Linked DNA regions of Schizosaccharomyces pombe. Each later gene encodes a partner of the first gene's protein in a complex. Each region holds a gene or a part of one and is shown in the gene's direction. Other genes may lie near its edges. The genes, in order: frg1 and usp102.

Region 1 (9,632 bases):
AGGAACGACCCCAGTCGGAGGAGCCAGATGATCCAGAGGTAGTTGATGTGGAAGTGGCAGATGTGGTAGAGGATGCGTAGGAAGTAGAGGCAGGAGTGGACTCAGAGGCGGAATCAGGAGGGGCAGCGGAAATAATGGAAGATGGAATCACGGTACTAACGGAAGAAGTAGCGCTGTCGACGACTGAGGAAATAGTGGCGGAAGCGGAATCGGTATCGACAGAAGATGCAACAGAAGCAGCGACAGTAGTAGGAGTAACGCTGGCAGCGAGATTGTCGGTAGAAGCAGAGGAAAGGCTGGCAAGGCTTGACAAAATGTCACTGCTAGCTTGAGCTTCAGAAGCAGCTGGTGTGGTGGCTGAATCACCATAAACAGCTGTAGTATACATGACCGTTTCGTACACGGTAAGAGTACTGTCGATGACATCGTCACGCTTATGATGAGGATGTCTCTTCATGTGTTGGTTGTTGCTACGCTTACGAAGAGAAGATAATGCGTTAGAAGTGTCGGGATAATAGACTGCAAAACGCTTGAGCTCAATAGGGCCACGGAAGTGGAAGGAGAACTCTTCGTCAAAGGGAGCCAAATTGCCGCCATAAGACTTGGGAGTACTGCTACAAGAGCATGAAGAGGTATCCATGTTGGTGATTTCGTTATAAGTAGAAGAATAGCCAACATTGGTGAATTCTACTTCGGAGGCCTGGTTACAGTAGTAGTAACCATTTTCCTCAGAGCATCCATCGGCTTTAACGCCAGAAAACGCGAAACAAAGGAAGAGAAAAGAAGCAATAAACGACTTGGCAATCATCTCAAGTTATACAAAGAAAAGATAAATATGTGAGTAGATAATAATATACTTAGACGCCGAACTAGGTATGGTTGAGGGGATATGTATGCAAACGCGTCCTAAATGAAAAAGAAAGGATTAGTACAAGTAAGCACTTGCCAAAAGAGAGCGTTTCGATATGGGGTATATGTAAAGAGTAAGTTTTGTAAGAGGCTGAAATTGGAAAACCAAGTTAAAACAATATATTGTTTCCGAAAGTGACAGTCGAGAACAAAGGATTGAGGGAAGAAAGAAACTGCAAACAAAGAGGCTTAGTTTTAGTTCCTCAAGACAAAAAAAATCCTTGTTCAAATAAAGGATGTAATAAAAAACGATTTTGAAAGAGAAATGAGTTCTCAAAAACGTTTGACCAAAAAGAAGTATCAAATCAAGTAATGCCTTTGCTTAGACAATACTCAAAAACCACAACGTATACAGTGGTTTAGTTGAAGTAAAAAAATAAAGGCAAGAACTTTTAGGTTATAAAGATATTTATATTTATATAACCAAGATTACCAGCCTCCTTGACGCAAATGATATAAGTAAGGAACGACTACCAACCAAGATTCACAAAAGTAAGAGTGTGACGAGAGTAAAGGCTAAAGAACCGAAAACACAAAGAGAGAGAGAGTAAAAAGAAAGTGGGTATTTTAGTAAAGAAACGAAGGTGAAAAGTTGGATTTAACACAACAACAACGAGAGTAAGAAAGAACGGACGTGGAACCGGATCAGAAGACCAACAAGTAGTTGAAGTATGTATATATTAAAAGAAAGACAAGAAAGTACTTAAACCACTCCGACTGACCAAGATCCGACACTCAGAAATTTTTTATCCAAAAAAAAGGCGTAGTTAATAAAAGGTAGTTGTAGTAAACAACGGGTTGTCAGGTGTTGTATATAAAGGAACGTCGAGGTTAGGGTTTCCTGAGAGCGTTTATAATTGGTTAAAAAAAAGTCATTCAGGACAGATTATTCGTTAACGAAACTTTTGATTCTAGAGATGACGGGCTCTGAGTGGTGGAAACCATGAGAGCAAAAGCGTACTCTAAAGTTTAATGCAAAGTAGACAGATTTTGATTGGTTTATGATAGGAAAGTCGGAGCGAATTGGAGGAAAGGAAGGTCAAAGTGAGCTGTTGCAATCTGCACGGGTGTACGCTTGCGTCCAGTAAAATTCGTAAAAGGGGTTTAATGAGAAGGCTGCTAATTCAACAAAGGCAAACTGACTGGTAGCGGGGATCTTTCCTTTGTGCTCTCTTTTGGATGGATATCGCTGTATATTTTAAATATATCTAACAATATTATTTTAAGGATTTCTAGACAGTACCGCATGGAGCTGGCCACATGCAATTATTAGGTCGTACTTAGAGTAATAGTAATAGTAAAATCAGGGCAGCATGTTATGTTACATCAATGTTTACAAGATCGCAGAAGTTGTAATAACTAAGTCAATTTTTTTCTATTTCTTTAGTCTTTTTCTTTCATTTGTTGTTTCGCACAATTAAAATTGCGCTCTAATATTGACCTATTTTTACCCATCCTTCTATGGATTGAGATAAACCATATTAGAATGGTCGGGTTCCTGACCAGCTTTGCGATCAGTATGGAATTGTATTGTCTAGCGATGGCGATTGTGTGACAATCAACAATTAATTTAATTATTCAATTCTGAGCAAATTTAGCACTCAGCCCATTTGGACTTTAATGAATCATTACTTTCACCAATTGGACTCCAATGCGTGCCACCTAATTTCATTGCAAAGAAATGGCCATATCGGAATAATGAATGCATATGCTAAATTAAAAAAAAAATTAAATAATAATTTGCGAGCTTATGCTCAAGAAGAACATTAATTGCTGAATTTGTGGTTTAAAACATTGTTTGGCAACTAAAAGTTAACAGATAAATATTTATATTTATATTTATTCACTGAGCATATTAATGGAAAGCTATTGAATTATATTGCTGAAATTCCTTATATGTATATTCTTAATATTATTTATTTATTTATTTAAATTTTATTTTTATGTGGTTGAGGCTTATCATATTATTTATCAAGTCCATACATCCGTTCAATTGTTACCAATGTTTGCTTAATTGTGTCCAAAACGAAATTGTAGATTTTCCATATTTACTAGATATTCACGTGGCCTCAATTTATATATCAAAACCAATAATGAAAAATTGCGCACTTGCATTAATAATTAAACCATTGTTTTTATTTGCCATCAGCAATAATTTTTTGATTAAAAATTTTTTAAGAAAAAAAAAAAAAAAAAAAAAAAAAGAAATTTATTCACCGTGATTAAGAAACTAACATATTACGCATATGGTTAGTATATTAGATAAAAATAAATTCTTATATTTATTATTTATTTTTTAAAAATATTTATTTTATTACAAACATTAAAATTTTCATGTTTCAGCATTTGGTTTAGATGAATGTAAAAGTCGTTAAAAAATAACCTTATTAACTAACGAGTTAGTTTTTTTTTTTTTTTTTTTTTTTTTTTTGAATGTTTTGGAATTTCCAAGTTCATTTGTACAACAATAATCAAGTTAATAGATTAAATAACAAAATTAATACTATTGTTTTTTTATCACTCAAATATTTTCATCCACTTTTGTGCTGTTTTTAATATGCAGGTATTATGGCTACACTTATTCACATAGTAATAAGTAAATTGAAACAGTGCTCATCTTTTGTAAGCTTTCAACTGAATAAGCAAAAAAAAATTCTTATTGTCATCAATGGACTTCCTTTTTTGGAATATGACTCGTCCTTCAACGAATGTTTTTGGTATTGAACAATGCTAGTCTTCGGTGCATACTTCTTCTCTCATCTATATTCAAAATTATCATTCAATTAAGCACATTTTTTTTCTTTCTCAAGCCATTAGAATGTTATGCAAATCATCCATTTTACAAACCAACATTAGCATGGGTCACAAAAGTCACATTGTGAGCAACAGAACATTTCTATTCATATAAAGCATTTCCTTGCTTATTAAAAACGTTTGAACCTCTTTTGTTTTGCTAAGAGTACCTTGCCTATTCCTCAGAACATATTGGATTTCAGCACGAAGAAGCATCTGGTCTGTTCAAATCCTTAACACTACTCCCACTACTTGCTTTTTCCTCGAAAACCACGCATAAATATTTAGTCATTATCCATTATTAACAATTATCATTTTTAAGGATTTTTAATCGTTTAAATTCTTGGTAATTTACTGATGGTAAAATGTCTATGCGATTAACTTTCAAGGGAGACAAAAAGATGTAAGATAAAATGAAATAACTGCTCGAATGTGGTAATTCATATTATATTGTTCATCACTAACAAGAAATCAGTCAAAAGAAGAAAAAAAAGAACACAAAATCACTTCAATCTTCTCTAGAATCAGCTGAAAACGATCCTTTTTGGACGGACGCAAACGAGCTAAATGAGCTTGAGGGTCCAGCGGTTATATAGTAAGCTTAACTTCAATATTCTTATACCTTTTTTTCTAATTTACTTACAACTTTATGTAGTAAAATAGACGATGATGCTGGTGTATCTCTTGGAATTGAAGAAGTTAAAGAAAGTTGCGTTCTTCTTCCCCTCGACAAAGTTTCGCTAGAGCCAGAATTGACGCGCCAGGTGTTTTTGTTATCCATACTGAACAATACTATACTATTGAAAAGCTGTTTAGGTAAATACATGTCATGTAGTAAGTCTGGAGACTTGTATTGTACGCAAGAGGCGGTAGGATCACAGGAACAATGGATAGCGGAGAATCTGGGCTCAGGATTTTGGGCTTGGAAAAGTGTATCAACGAAAAAATATTTAACATTAAGTAGAGAAAAACAAGATCAGGCCATTGCATGTGTCTCTGACACTGTCATTCCTGAAGCCAAATGGAGAATTCGAGTACAAACTCGTTTCCTAAAGAAAAACAAGTCTTCTTTATTTGACAACCCAACCATACATTCCAGACAATTAGAATCTATGTAAGTTATGCTATTCTATTTTATTGGGGTTTCCCTTCTACTTTCGTCATTCTAACTTTGTAATTTTACAGGGCTGGAAGAAAACTTTCTACCGATGAAAAAAAGACCCTCAAAAAAGCGTTTAAGGAAGGAGTTCTTCATGAAGCATTACTAGATTTACGAGTATCTTCAAGGAGCGACAAATATGGTTAATTTTTCGGATATTCTTGATAAACCATTAATATCTTGACTTACTGATTAATGTACGATTACCTGCTGGACCAAAGCTAGCAAAAACAGATTTGATTTTTTCTCTTGAATTTTAGGCACCTTGTATAGCTATTGAGACTCCTTTCAGCTATTCACTACTTTTATGTATGAATTTACAAAGCTTTATGGTAATTACTCATTTCAAAAGTGAAGTGTTTTACTTCATTCCTTAATTTTAACGAACTATTTTTTTTTAATAAAAAATGAATATTTAATGAATCTGTTGAAATTCATTCCCTTCATACATGTATGGTTTTACAAATAAATGCAACAAGTAAATAATTATAGTCATCAGCATCGCTTGAAAAAGATTAAAATAGTTTTAGATTATTACTACTATTACCTAGTCATTATTTCAGCTTCAAAAATATATTTCTATACTGGCCCTGTCCTTAAGGCTGTACGCCAATCTTACTGCTCACCTTTACCAAGAATCGAAGTAACACCCTGCATCTGTCAAGTCAAGAGGAAATTGAAAAAAATAATTAGAAAAGAGACCAATTAATTGCATTTGTTAATAAAAAGGCTAAATTTAGAGGATCATTATTTTTACAGTGTATAAAAACCATAGGGATGTGCATCTTCAAGTTTTTAATATGAGCTCATCCCCATTCACAAATCTTGGGAATTTGGACACAGAAGCAATCTATGAAAATAAGGAAAATGAATACCAGACAAACATAACTAATGAGACCTCAAATGTTCAAAATTTATCAAGTGGTAATGATGATCAGCAGTATCCCAATTCTACGAATGATGATGCAAATAATGGATTAACTGCCTCTCAAGCAAAATTGCAAGATATTGCCGCTGTCACTTTATTTCAGGATAATAATATTTCAACTACGACTTTAGCTCCGCCTTCACCTTCACCTTTGCGTCTCAATGAAGCTCCTCGCAGACGTGGAAGACCTCGAAAATATCCACCAAAACCAATTGACGAAGGATCGGAGCCTATAATCAAACGGAAGCGTGGCAGACCTCCAAAAATAAAAAGTTCTTCTCCTTCCACAAAACTAGATGATCCCTTAAAGCCTAAAAGAGGTAGAGGACGTCCTCGTTTACATCCTCTCCCAGTAGTGCAACCGTCTGTAGATGAGGGAACAACTCAAAATAATCTACAGATGGGGTTAGATGAGCCGAATATCATAGAAGGTTTTGCCGAAGGGCATGCCAATTTAAGTGAGCTGAAGCCAAAGAGAGGGCGTGGACGACCTCGAAAAATAAAACCAGAAGAAGGGAGCTCAAGTCAAAATGGGCTTTCTCCTTTGGTAGTATTACCTGCGAAAAGAGGGCGCGGGCGTCCACCTTTACATCGATCTGAACAGAAGATTGCAAATACTCCAATTTCGAATAATGTAACGGTTGAATCGACAGGTACAAATCTACATACTCATTCACAGTTGAATCCAGAAAATGAACAATCTTCTTCTGAATTCTATTCATTGAATCCACAATCTGAAATACGGAAGGAAGTTGTAGTCACAGATCAACCTTTATTTTCTACTGCAGACGTCCCAGTAAAGCGGAAACGTGGACGACCTCCTTTAAATAAGCCCAAGATACTTTTTGGGACAAGTACTGAAAATAAAATAGATGAAAATAGACCCAAACGAGGTAGAGGAAGACCTCGCCTTGAAAGACCGAGTGGCTTGCCTTTAGATTCAAAATCACAATCCCTTTTTAAAAGAAAGCGTGGTAGACCTCCAAAAATAGCTAGTGGAATTGTACCTTTAAGCGCCTTTACTAGAAAACATGAGGATATGCTTCATGACTCAGACGCGTTGTCACTTAAACATTTTGCTATTACATCTCCTAATAATCAACAGTTCCTTAATAATCAACAGCGAGAATCAGCTCCGTTGCTTCCTAGAAAACGTGGACGACCACCGAAAAAGCGTCAAGAGAATGCGGAAATTCGTAATATCACACCTGGTTTAACCGATTCCTCTGTTCACTCCTCTTCAGCAACTCCGCAATCCGAATCTTCATCACCCAATTCAGTTTCTCCACTACTTCCTTCATCTGACAGATTACCCCTTCTTCGACAATCTCAATTTACACCTCCTCCCAAAAAACCTAATTTCGAAGTTGCTATTATTTCTCCTAAAAAGAGTCAGCATAAACTTTATCCTAATCCTGTCGTTGAGTCTGTATTTAATGACGTCCCATATTCTGAAATTGACTCACAGTTACATACTATTAAATCTACGATTGCTGCAAGGTTGTGTGGGAAAAGCCATATCCCTCTTGTAGGACATATGGATGAACAGACAAAGCTTTATCAATGGGTCCGACAAACTATAGTACTTGGCGAAGGTAATTCTGTCATTATTGTCGGTCCACGGGGTTCTGGAAAATCAGTTCTCGTGGATGATATACTATCACGCGCAGCTCAGGAAATAAATGAAAAAAGTTATGTCGTAAGATTGAATGGTACGTACCAGACAGATGACAAACTAGCTTTGCGTGAAATATCGCGACAATTATCTATTGAACTTGAATCTATCGAGTCTGATGAAGCATTAAAATCAGAAATGAACTTTTCTGATACACTTACAAAATTGTTAGCTACATTGTCTCATCCCGTGGATTTGGGAATTGCAGAAGACGTAATGACAACGTCTGCAGCCGTGATATTTGTTTTAGAAGAGTTTGACCTGTTTGTTCAGCATTCACGGCAAATGCTCTTGTATAACTTGTTTGACATTGCTCAATCGAGGAAAGCCCCGATACTGATCATAGGCTTGACTACTCGCTATGATTGTTCTGAATCACTTGAAAAGCGAGTAAAAAGTAGGTTTAGTCACATGGTAATTCCCATGCGACCACCTTCTTCGCTTAGTGAATTTGAGCAAATTTTAAAATCTGTTTTGTATGTTTCTGACGAAGGCGGAAAAGACCAAATAATAACATGCTGGAACCAGAGAGTGGATGAATTGCTTTCCGATACACGAAGTCACTTACATAAATTGGTACAACATCACTATTTTGCAAGCAGAAATTTAAAATTATTGTATGTTGATTTATTATTTCCCATACTTTCCATGGCACCTGATCGTCCATTACTTGCTGATGAAGACTTCGCCAATATCAGTCTCAAAGTTTCTGACCATAAGGTTGAACTTGTAAAGAATTTAAGTTTGTTGGAGTTGGCTTTATTGATTTGTGCAGTTCGCTTTGAAGCTAGGGATATTCCAGCTTGCAACTTTAATAGTGCTTATCAAGAATATCGACAACTGCATCAATCTTCCGTTATAAATGCCGCAGCATCGGGAGCTCTAGCTCATAGCAGTCGATTATGGGGAAGGGATGTTGCTTTGGAAGCATGGGAAACTTTAGGGTCTATAGGATTGATTATACCGGTTCACCCTTCTACTAATGTTAGTGGTGCCCTTTCTAGACAATGCCAACTATGGCAGCCAGAAGTGGATATCAATGTAGTTTCTGTAGGTTTGCGTGAACATCGACGTTTGCCATCGCATTATTACCGCTGGCTTAAGGAGGTTATATAAAAGAATTGCAATTTTTTTTGTTTCTGTTGTATTTTATTAACTTTGTATCCTTTTTAAATAAAACAATATAAGAAAGGCAAAAATAAGGACGACCGTGTTGAAGGTTATATACCATTACACATTGTAGTTATTACCGATATTTGATAAATAAAAGTTTTAATTTTAATTGATTAAATATTTGCTTCTGATAAACGAAAATAGAATTTACTTTTTTGCTATCAGCGCTGGTTAAGCTGTGAAAGAAGCTGGTCTCCAAATATTTATATTAGATGACTTATGAAGGTAAATCAGTAATCAACGGATCAATGAATACCTAAACATTTTAATGATAGTTTTTGTTTCAGGGTCACTTTGTACTAATGTAGAAAAAAAATTTTGGCGGAATATTTCATGAAAGGTGGTAAGAAAAACAAAATAAATTAGATTAAACGAAAGGACTCATCAGTGGTACTTTTAAGCCCAAAAAAAAGTGATAGCACATAAGGAATTCACGCAGTTTAACTAACTTAAAGATATGTCATAAAAGTTTAAAAAAAGCATCACAATAACAAGATTCTCATTATAAAATCAAAAACAAACTAATATTCAATAAACTGCTAATTGAATATGAATTTAACCAATTTATCTTTTAAACGAAACACTAGCCTTAACGAAAGCAGGAAAAAACAGCCTGCACTCGTTGTAGGCACCGTACAGTATTGAAACAATTTTGAATTGAAGCTGAGATAACCGTCACCTTTATAAAACATTGGAAATAAAACTGAGTGTTAAGAAAACCGGAAATTTATTGAGAAAAGTTAGAGGGCTAGCTCCGAGGAAGCATCGTAAAGTGTATTTTTCCAGCTTTTGAGCTGAGAATGTAGAGATATAAGTTCATCTTGGAGCTTGTTTAAATTAGGATTATTAGTATCATTATTATCATAATATGAAGAGACTTTTAAATATAAATTCTTATAACGCGGATAAGTTTCCCGAAATCTTTTTGCCAATGCTCGCATTTCTTCTGTAGTGTAACGTTGTTGACGACGCTTTTTAGCTATCCATGCATCTTG
Region 2 (8,137 bases), 1.4 Mb from region 1:
TTGGGCTGACATCCACCTTGCATATCTGAACCAAAATTCATCATAAAGTGCACAAGTAATTAAACATCTCTCATACAAATGACATATTCTCTGAAAATCTCCCTCCACTTCTTCAAAGTCCAAATATTTTCTCCAATTAACTAGTTGTGCTTCATCGAGTTCTTTAACATGAAAGTAAGGACGTTTAATTTCCGATTCGAACGTCCATCGTTTAGCAGTTTCGAGTTGAACTTTTTGAAAAATTTGCAAATGGATATTATATATGCGAGCTCTCATCTCTCTTTCAATTTCGAGTTCACCGCGTTCAACGGTAATTTGTTTTGATCCAGCAGAAACAACTTTAGCGGGTTCACGAGTTACATCAGCTCTGATAGATGCCAATACGTCAGGAGGTAATAATTGCTGTATTGGTTGACTCTGTGAAACTTGAACGAATCTACGACGTTAGCCTTTGAGCTTAAATTGAATTTGATCACAAAATTAATTGAGACAATTACGAATGTTAATGGTAATTTGTCCGTACCTTTCAAAATAACGAGCGTATTGATGTAGGGGAATGTGTATAAGACGCTCTAATAATTGAAATACATTATCTGGACGCTCCTGACGCTCCTCAAATTCCAGATATTTATCCCAAAATGGATGTGACAGAAAATCCAATCCAACCATGTTCGCACCTTGCATGAATAGCCTGATGAGTTAGTATTTGTCACGTGAAATAAGGGTTTATTCTTACTCCCGAACTTCATTTGCATCACCATTGGTTTCCATTTTAAAAGCGCAATAGTTTGTCCACAAATCAACAGAGTGTGGAATACCAGCAATTCCTCGTTCGTAGATCTATTTTTTTATTAGAAAAATAACAAATCGCATAATACTTGTGTACATACATGCTCTGATGCTTCAGCACCTGCCACAAAAAACTCAAAATCTGCATACTTCTTCCAATAACCAAACAATAGCGGATATTTTCCCAAGAATCGATCGTACACACTTCTTAATGTATTGATAGCCTGTTTCGAAGAGTTTCTGCCAACACCTCCCTCAAGATGTTCTGAAGCACGAACCAGTCCTTCCCTAAATCATAATTAGCACTAAATAAGTTGTATCTGACAACATCCTACCAAGCATCAAAATCATCTGGATTTTTATTTATTTGACGATTATATTTATCCCATTCTGTTTCCTCTGCAATGTAAATATCCCCATAATCCATTTTGGTTCGCAAGTATAAAAGCGCGTAAGGATAAAATGTAAATATCGAACAGCAACGAAATATACTTTCTTCAGCCGTATTCGGTTGAACTTAAATAAATTACAATATTAGTTTAGTGCAGTACATTAGTCTGCCGAATCGTATCATACAGAATAATACGACACTGCCCGCAACGCTGATTTAAAAATTAATAACTAATAAAGTACATTTGGGCGATACACAAGCGTAAAATGATTATTGTTCTGTAACAGACTTACTAATATAATGAAAATTCAACTACAAATCACTGTATAAACATGACTCACTTCAACATTTACAAATATTTATTAACATTGGAAATACTTAGCTACTAAGCAACGAATCAACAAAAACTTAATTAGGTATAAAAAATATTATTTCCTATAATGAACACAAAAACACAAAAATGGACAAAGAATGCACATGTATCTAATATTATATGCAAACGAACATAATCTCAAAAAACTAGATTTAAGATGCACAGTAACTTAACAAATTATCAATCCAAACTTAGCTAATAATATAATATATAGACCCAACGAATCGGAACAACAAATTTTGGATCTAGCTGCCTCACACAATTCATAAATCATACAAAGACGTTTAGCTATTGCCTTATGCGTAATCTTCCTCATGGGAAGAGTATTGTGGAGATGAGTCAGTGTTTGAAGCACGCTCAACATACTCAACAGACTCACCACGGGCACCGCCCTTTCTGGATTTCTCTTTCTCAACTTTCTTTTGCTCAGAATAGTTAAGCTTAAAGTTACCAGATTCCCAGGGCTTGATGACAGACATATACAACTCATTAATTTCTTCCAAAGTAAGACCTTTAGTCTCTTTAGCAAACAAGAAAATAACAATTGCACCGGTCAAATTACAAGAAGCAAAAACGTAACCGTACTTGAATCCAATAGAAGCTTGAATGAATGGAGTAAAGAATGAAATTAGGAAATTCCAGAGCCAGTTGCTAGCAGTAGCGACGGCAGCACACTTAGAGCGGTAACGAACAGGGTATGACTCACCAACAATAACGTATGCGGCAGGAGCCCAAGTTTGAGCAAATCCAAAAATGAAAAGACATGCCATGACAATCATAACGGCACCAGCACGGGTATTTGAAGTACCGTTCTTATGATATAAAGCACGAGAACCGACAGCTGAATAAATGAAAAAGCAAATTGACTGCCAAATACCACCAATGATAAGAGGGTTACGACGACCAAACCTTTCCAATACATACATACCACCAAAAGTGCAGCCAAAATTAACTGCATCAAGAATCATAGCAGATAGGTAAGGAGAATTAATACCAGCTCCTTGCATAACTGAGAAACCATAGTAGAAGAAATAGTTGTTACCGGTCAATTGTTGAAGCGACATAACAAACATACCAAGGAAAGTACGATAACGAATGTCTTTACCGAAAATGCTTGCCCAGCTGCAAGGGCCACCAGCAAATTCTTCGTCAATAGATGATTTGAGACGGTGATATTCATTTTGAACTTCCTCACTATCAGGAAAAAGCTCAGCACTTTCAGAAAGAACTCTAACAGCCTCTTCATCCTTGCCAACTTGAATAAGATAACGAGGGGATTCGGGAAGGAAGAGAATTCCAATCATGGTAATGATACCCCAAAGGAGATTAATACCAATTGAAACACGCCACTGGGCAGTTTTATGAAGTTTGTGAGTACCCATATTGATACAAGCGGCAATGAAAATTCCACCAGTGACAAACAACTGATAAGTGACGACGACGGTACCACGAATACTGGGAGGAGCAGTCTCTGATTGATATCCAGGAGCCAAGACAGAAAGAGCGCCAATACCAATACCAGTCCAAATCTTGGCAACCATGATTTGTACCCAAGAGGGAACAGCGGTAACTTGAACGATGATACCAATGATATAAACAGCACAAAAACCAATGATAGAAAGTCTCTTACCAAAACGATCGGCAATGGGAGAAGAAATGATACATCCAAACAAGGAACCAACGTTAACCATACCAGTTAAAAGACCTTGACGAGCCGAAGACAAAGAATACTGGTCGGTGATCGGGTCATATCTATCAGCATAACGCTCACGAAAATCGCGCATACTAGTAACACCACCAATGGAACCGGTATCAGCACCAAACATCCAACCGGCCATGGAGACGAAAATTAACATAACAAGGGTAAAATTCTTTCCACGCTTGAACCCCATTTTGATAAAGTATAAAGGAATCTAATAAAGATGAAAAAAAACAAAAATTCTATAGAAAGGATGTAAGTGGAAAATAAAAGATTGAATAAAATTAACCACACGTCTATTTCAGTTGCAACACGTTAAGCAGAAATGATAGAACAAAGAACAGACAGTTTATGAGTTAGAGATCTTGACAAGAGATTCTCAATAAATAAAAATTAAAAGAAAAATTAATCTAGATTATGATTTTCAAGCACAGAGAGCTTGTATTTTCAAAATCGGTATAAAGAAAGGGTAACCAAGGAAAGCACAATGCTTTTATTGAGCTTTCTTTGGATTTCGTTCTTGTTTAACCAAAAAAAGAAAGGATTTTTAGGTAAATGAAGACTAAAGTTGCTCTTGCACTTAAAAAGCAAGAATAGGTCTAGGTAAAGATTTTAACAGTCAAGAGGGCAGCTTTTATACTAAATTCGGGAAGAGAAACCCCGACAAAAGTATCAAAAGTCCTTTGCTTTCAGTGAAATTTTAGACAGGATCGCCGGAGAGTTTTTGGTTATACGTCACAATATTACAAGGGCAACAAGGTAGTTAGCAAACTCTTGTATCATTGGACGCCGACTTAAAAAAACGCAGTCACACACAAATAAGAACGAATAAGATGTGGAATAGAATTTAAACGACGTGTATGACGAGGATCAACAGCTCGTTGAAAGTCAAGAACGAGGTAAAAATGTCACGATATCATTAATTCTCCATAGCAAAAAAAAAAATTCAATCGTAAAATGATACACTGTACGTAATGAAACTGATGCATATACTGGGGAAAGACACTATTAGTGAGGTAGAAAGCCGATAACAGGATGAAAAAACGACTTTCAATAAATGTGATGTAGGAATAATTCTCAAAAGTAAAGTAAATTTAAATACTTTGGCGACCGAGGCTGCAAGTTCGGACTGCTAGCAAATACAGAGTGTATTCCAACGTCAATAATTTTAGCAAAGTAACCGAAAAAACCAAGTATATTTCTATACTCCTCATATCGTTAAATCAAGATTGAACACAAAAAAACGTTTCCTGAGGCAAAAGAAGTAAAGTGTCTGCAGTAAAATTAATTCGCAAGGCGAAAAAATAATACCAATGGTGGCCATACGTATTGGAACCAGCAAATATCAAAGTTTAAAACACAGCATACTCTCATCGCTGCATGACTATCTCAAAGCTGGCAATAGAACAATTAACGTTACGGAACCATAATCCTTCAAATTTCGATTGCTTGCATTCTCGAGCTCCACATATTCGAGTCCATAACGGAACTAACCTAAATGCGGAGTTCCTCTAGTATTAACTAGTAACATGAATAGAGCATAGCCGTGCTCTTTTTTTTTAAGAAAACGTCACGCAACGTGTATCTTATCTCTGTCCTATCCAAGTCAGGATAGCTAGGGGCCCCCAACCTGGAGACCATACATCGACCGCGACACCAACCATCCTAGCGAGACTCCCTAACAAGAAGGTAAATATGGATGGACAATGAACCTTTTCAAAAAAAAACAGAATTCTCAAGCGATATATTCGCTCTTGAACAGTTCGGTGTAAAAGGATACTTCTATCCCTTGATTACGTGTACGCCCATACTTCATTCGGACTATAGAAGAAATATGGAGCTGTAACCCGTACTGCAATTGTCTGTGTTAAGAAAATGTAAACGCTGCACACTAAATCATCACTAATTCATCGCTAACTAACGTAGTCCCTAAAAAGTTATGAACTTGGTAAACGACTTTTGAGGCCTTGGGACCTCCTTAAATACGCCCAACTCATTACTAACAAGGTTTGCTATGTCCGTGAAAAGCGCCTATTGTACATATATTGCTCCCATATATGTGAAGCTTTTGCCCAATCATTGTAAGACAGGGTCTTGCTATATTTCCCTACCCCGCTCCATTCTTCCCAAGTCTGAGAAAAACTGTGGAGAAGCCTACCAATTTTGCCTAAGGGGATTTTGATCCCGCCTCTGCAATCTATTGGACGATAATAGCTATAACTACATTTGATTGGATGAAAGACATGTGATGAATGCTGGATGGTTTTGTTGTTTTTAAATGACCACCGATAATTTTTTTAGTTAGTACGCATACATTGATGAAAGCTGAAAAATTATAATAGGGTGAATAAATGAAATTCTTTTTGTGTCTTTTACTCTAATATCGTCTGGCAATTTTCTATTTTCGTACTTCGATAGCGCCATACATGTCTTGTCACCCGTTTTTACGAGCTAGGCTTAGAAATATCTTGGAATTTTTTTTCAGACATGTTGATGATTGGCTGATACTTTTTCCAGTTCTGCCTCCTCCACAATTTGCATCCGCGTTTTCCAGAGACGTTGGGGCAATAACTTTGTCTAACATTAAATTGAAATTACAAGGGTAAGTATTTGAATCAAGACTAACCTTTATACGTTGAATGTCTTCGATATTGTAGAGAATGCCTTGAAAAAAAAATTTTATTTGTGTTAATACAATCTAATATTGTGGAATAAAAAATGGTTTGTGACTGCTCTTCTGTTCTCGGCTGTTGTATTTCTTAATAGGACGGCTCGTAAAATTCGTTATTTGCGCGTCCAGTACACCATCGATTCCCATATTATCCACAGTTTACAAATAACAATATTTATATCATTTTCTTTACTTTGGGTAAACGCTCTCTTTCAGTAACTAAATCAATTGTTGTTTATAAAATTTTTATTCTTTTGTTTGCGCGTTCAAAATTTGTCTGCACGGTAAATCATTAACGCATAAACTCGGTTCTTTTACCTAGGTATCTCGTAAATTATATAAGGATTTGTACCATATTGTAACAAAATACAAGGCAAACTGAATTATTGTACAGATTATCGTATTCACTATTCAAGCATTCGTAACTTTTTCTGCAACTGAAAACAAGATTAATGAGCAACAACATGGTCAAACATAGCGATGCGTTATCGTGTTAAAACTACGTCCATTTATTGAAGTTCTTCCTTTCGCGATCTTTAACTTGGATAAGGAGTGTTTCTCTCCATTTGATATTTGGTACATTAGAGTACTGTATTTTGAAAACAAGCGCTTTTAGAATACATCCAACGAAATATTAATGCTGGCTATAATTTACATTTTGAAATTGAATGTAAAGTCAACCATTACGAGCCATATTTACTAAAACAAGGTGGTACCTGAAAGACTACTTCTTTTGGTAATTAGCTGGAATTTAATGCCATAAGCTGGATTGTCTTCCAATTTTTAAATACTCGTGTTTTTTGATTCATCATAACATTAGTGCCGAAATTCACTGTGAATATCTTTTTATATTTAACATCCAATGGATCCTCAAACAAATTCGCATCAAGAGGTTCAACAACCATCTCCTAAAGAGACAGACTCTCAAACACCGTCAGAGACTCTCTACATACGCAACATTGAAGAAAAAATTCGTCTTACTAGTATGCCACTAATTTAAATTGTTTTAATTTAATTTAATTTCTAACAATCGTAGTGTTGAAACGAATTTTAGAACATCTCTTTGGGTCTTATGGTAAAGTCATAGATGTTCAAGCAAGAAAGACTTTGCGAATGCGCGGTCAAGCATTTGTAGTATTCGACAACTTGGAGAACGCGTCACGAGCGTTAAAGGATTTACAAGGATACCCTTTGTATGGAAAGCCCATGATGATACAGTACAGTAAATCTAAAAGCGATATTATCGTACAAAGAGAATCTCCTGAAGAAATAGAAACTAGGAAAAAAGATAGGAAAAATAGGAGAGGTATAATCTTTTTTATTCTAAAATCAAAGACCTCACTTTACTAACCTTATATTATAGAAATGCTTAAACGGACTAGCGCTCTTCAACCCGCAGCTCCCAAACCCACTCATAAAAAGCCGGTTCCTAAACGTAATGTTGGAGCTGAGCGTAAATCGACAATTAATGAAGATTTGTTGCCTCCTAATAAGGTACTTCTGTTACAAAATATCCCTCAAGAAGTAAACGCAGACGTCCTTACACAAATTTTCGAAGCGTTTTCTGGATTTCAAGAAGTACGTATGGTTCCCGGTAGAAGAGGAATTGCATTTGTTGAATACGATTCTGATAGAGAAGCAACGGTCGCAAAAAATGGGACAACAGGTATGTCCCTCAGTGGAAATCAAATAAAGGTAACATTCGCTCGGAAGGCCTCGTAGTTGATTCTGCAACTATTTTAATTCCCTCTTTCAAATTTTTGTTGCAATAATCATCCAAAAGTCACCTTTCGAAATATATAAAGCTCCTATCATTTTCATAATTGATCATTTGTGTATATAAATTATATAATGCAATTTTGCAGGCCCAAAATTATGTATATCAAGCATGTAATTATGTTAAGCTTTCAGTACCTTGAACCCGCTATATTTTCCAGACGATCCTTTCATTAATTCGATATTTCCTTTTTTCATTAGTAGCTCAAGAACTTTATGGAGGAGTACTTCGTCTAAACAATCTACCTCTTTATATTGTTCTTGAAGTTCGTAAAATGTACATATAGACCCTTCTCGTCCCATATCGGATAGCTGTAAAACAATTAGTACTTTCGACTATGCAGAAAATGGCTTACCCATTTCAAGATCATATTCCCCCATTCAGATATAGACCTCCAGTATACCCAAAACACGTCTTTAGGATTTCGCTTTTCAGTC

Evidence for each region.
Region 2: frg1 (region 1) and usp102 share a complex: the UniProt entries of both Schizosaccharomyces pombe proteins name them as parts of the spliceosome.

Annotation. Positions count from the first base shown.
Region 1 is NC_003423.3:2,019,882-2,029,513, forward strand, and holds frg1 (FRG1 family mRNA-processing protein), read left to right. Parts: upstream 1-3,967; 5' UTR 3,968-4,067; coding exon 4,068-4,105; exon of another isoform or gene 4,106-4,177; coding exon 4,178-4,297; exon of another isoform or gene 4,298-4,357; coding exon 4,358-4,816; intron 4,817-4,887; coding exon 4,888-5,008; 3' UTR 5,009-5,306; downstream 5,307-9,632. Other genes in the region: SPOM_SPBP23A10.11C (circularly permuted 1,3-beta-glucanase), read right to left, coding at 1-808; origin recognition complex subunit Orc4, read left to right, coding at 5,662-8,580; RNA polymerase II transcription elongation factor Ell1, read right to left, coding at 9,378-9,632. UniProt on the Schizosaccharomyces pombe protein: May have a role in processing of pre-rRNA or in the assembly of rRNA into ribosomal subunits. May be involved in pre-mRNA splicing.
Region 2 is NC_003423.3:3,422,880-3,431,016, reverse strand, and holds usp102 (U1 snRNP-associated protein Usp102), read left to right. Parts: upstream 1-6,537; 5' UTR 6,538-6,785; coding exon 6,786-6,906; exon of another isoform or gene 6,907-6,959; coding exon 6,960-7,229; exon of another isoform or gene 7,230-7,286; coding exon 7,287-7,645; 3' UTR 7,646-7,795; downstream 7,796-8,137. Other genes in the region: U1 snRNP-associated protein Prp39, read right to left, coding at 1-436, 524-691, 737-840, 891-1,077, 1,125-1,216; plasma membrane glucose/fructose:proton symporter Ght2, read right to left, coding at 1,850-3,445; ESCRT II complex subunit Vps25, read right to left, coding at 7,823-8,011, 8,056-8,137. UniProt on the Schizosaccharomyces pombe protein: Involved in nuclear mRNA splicing.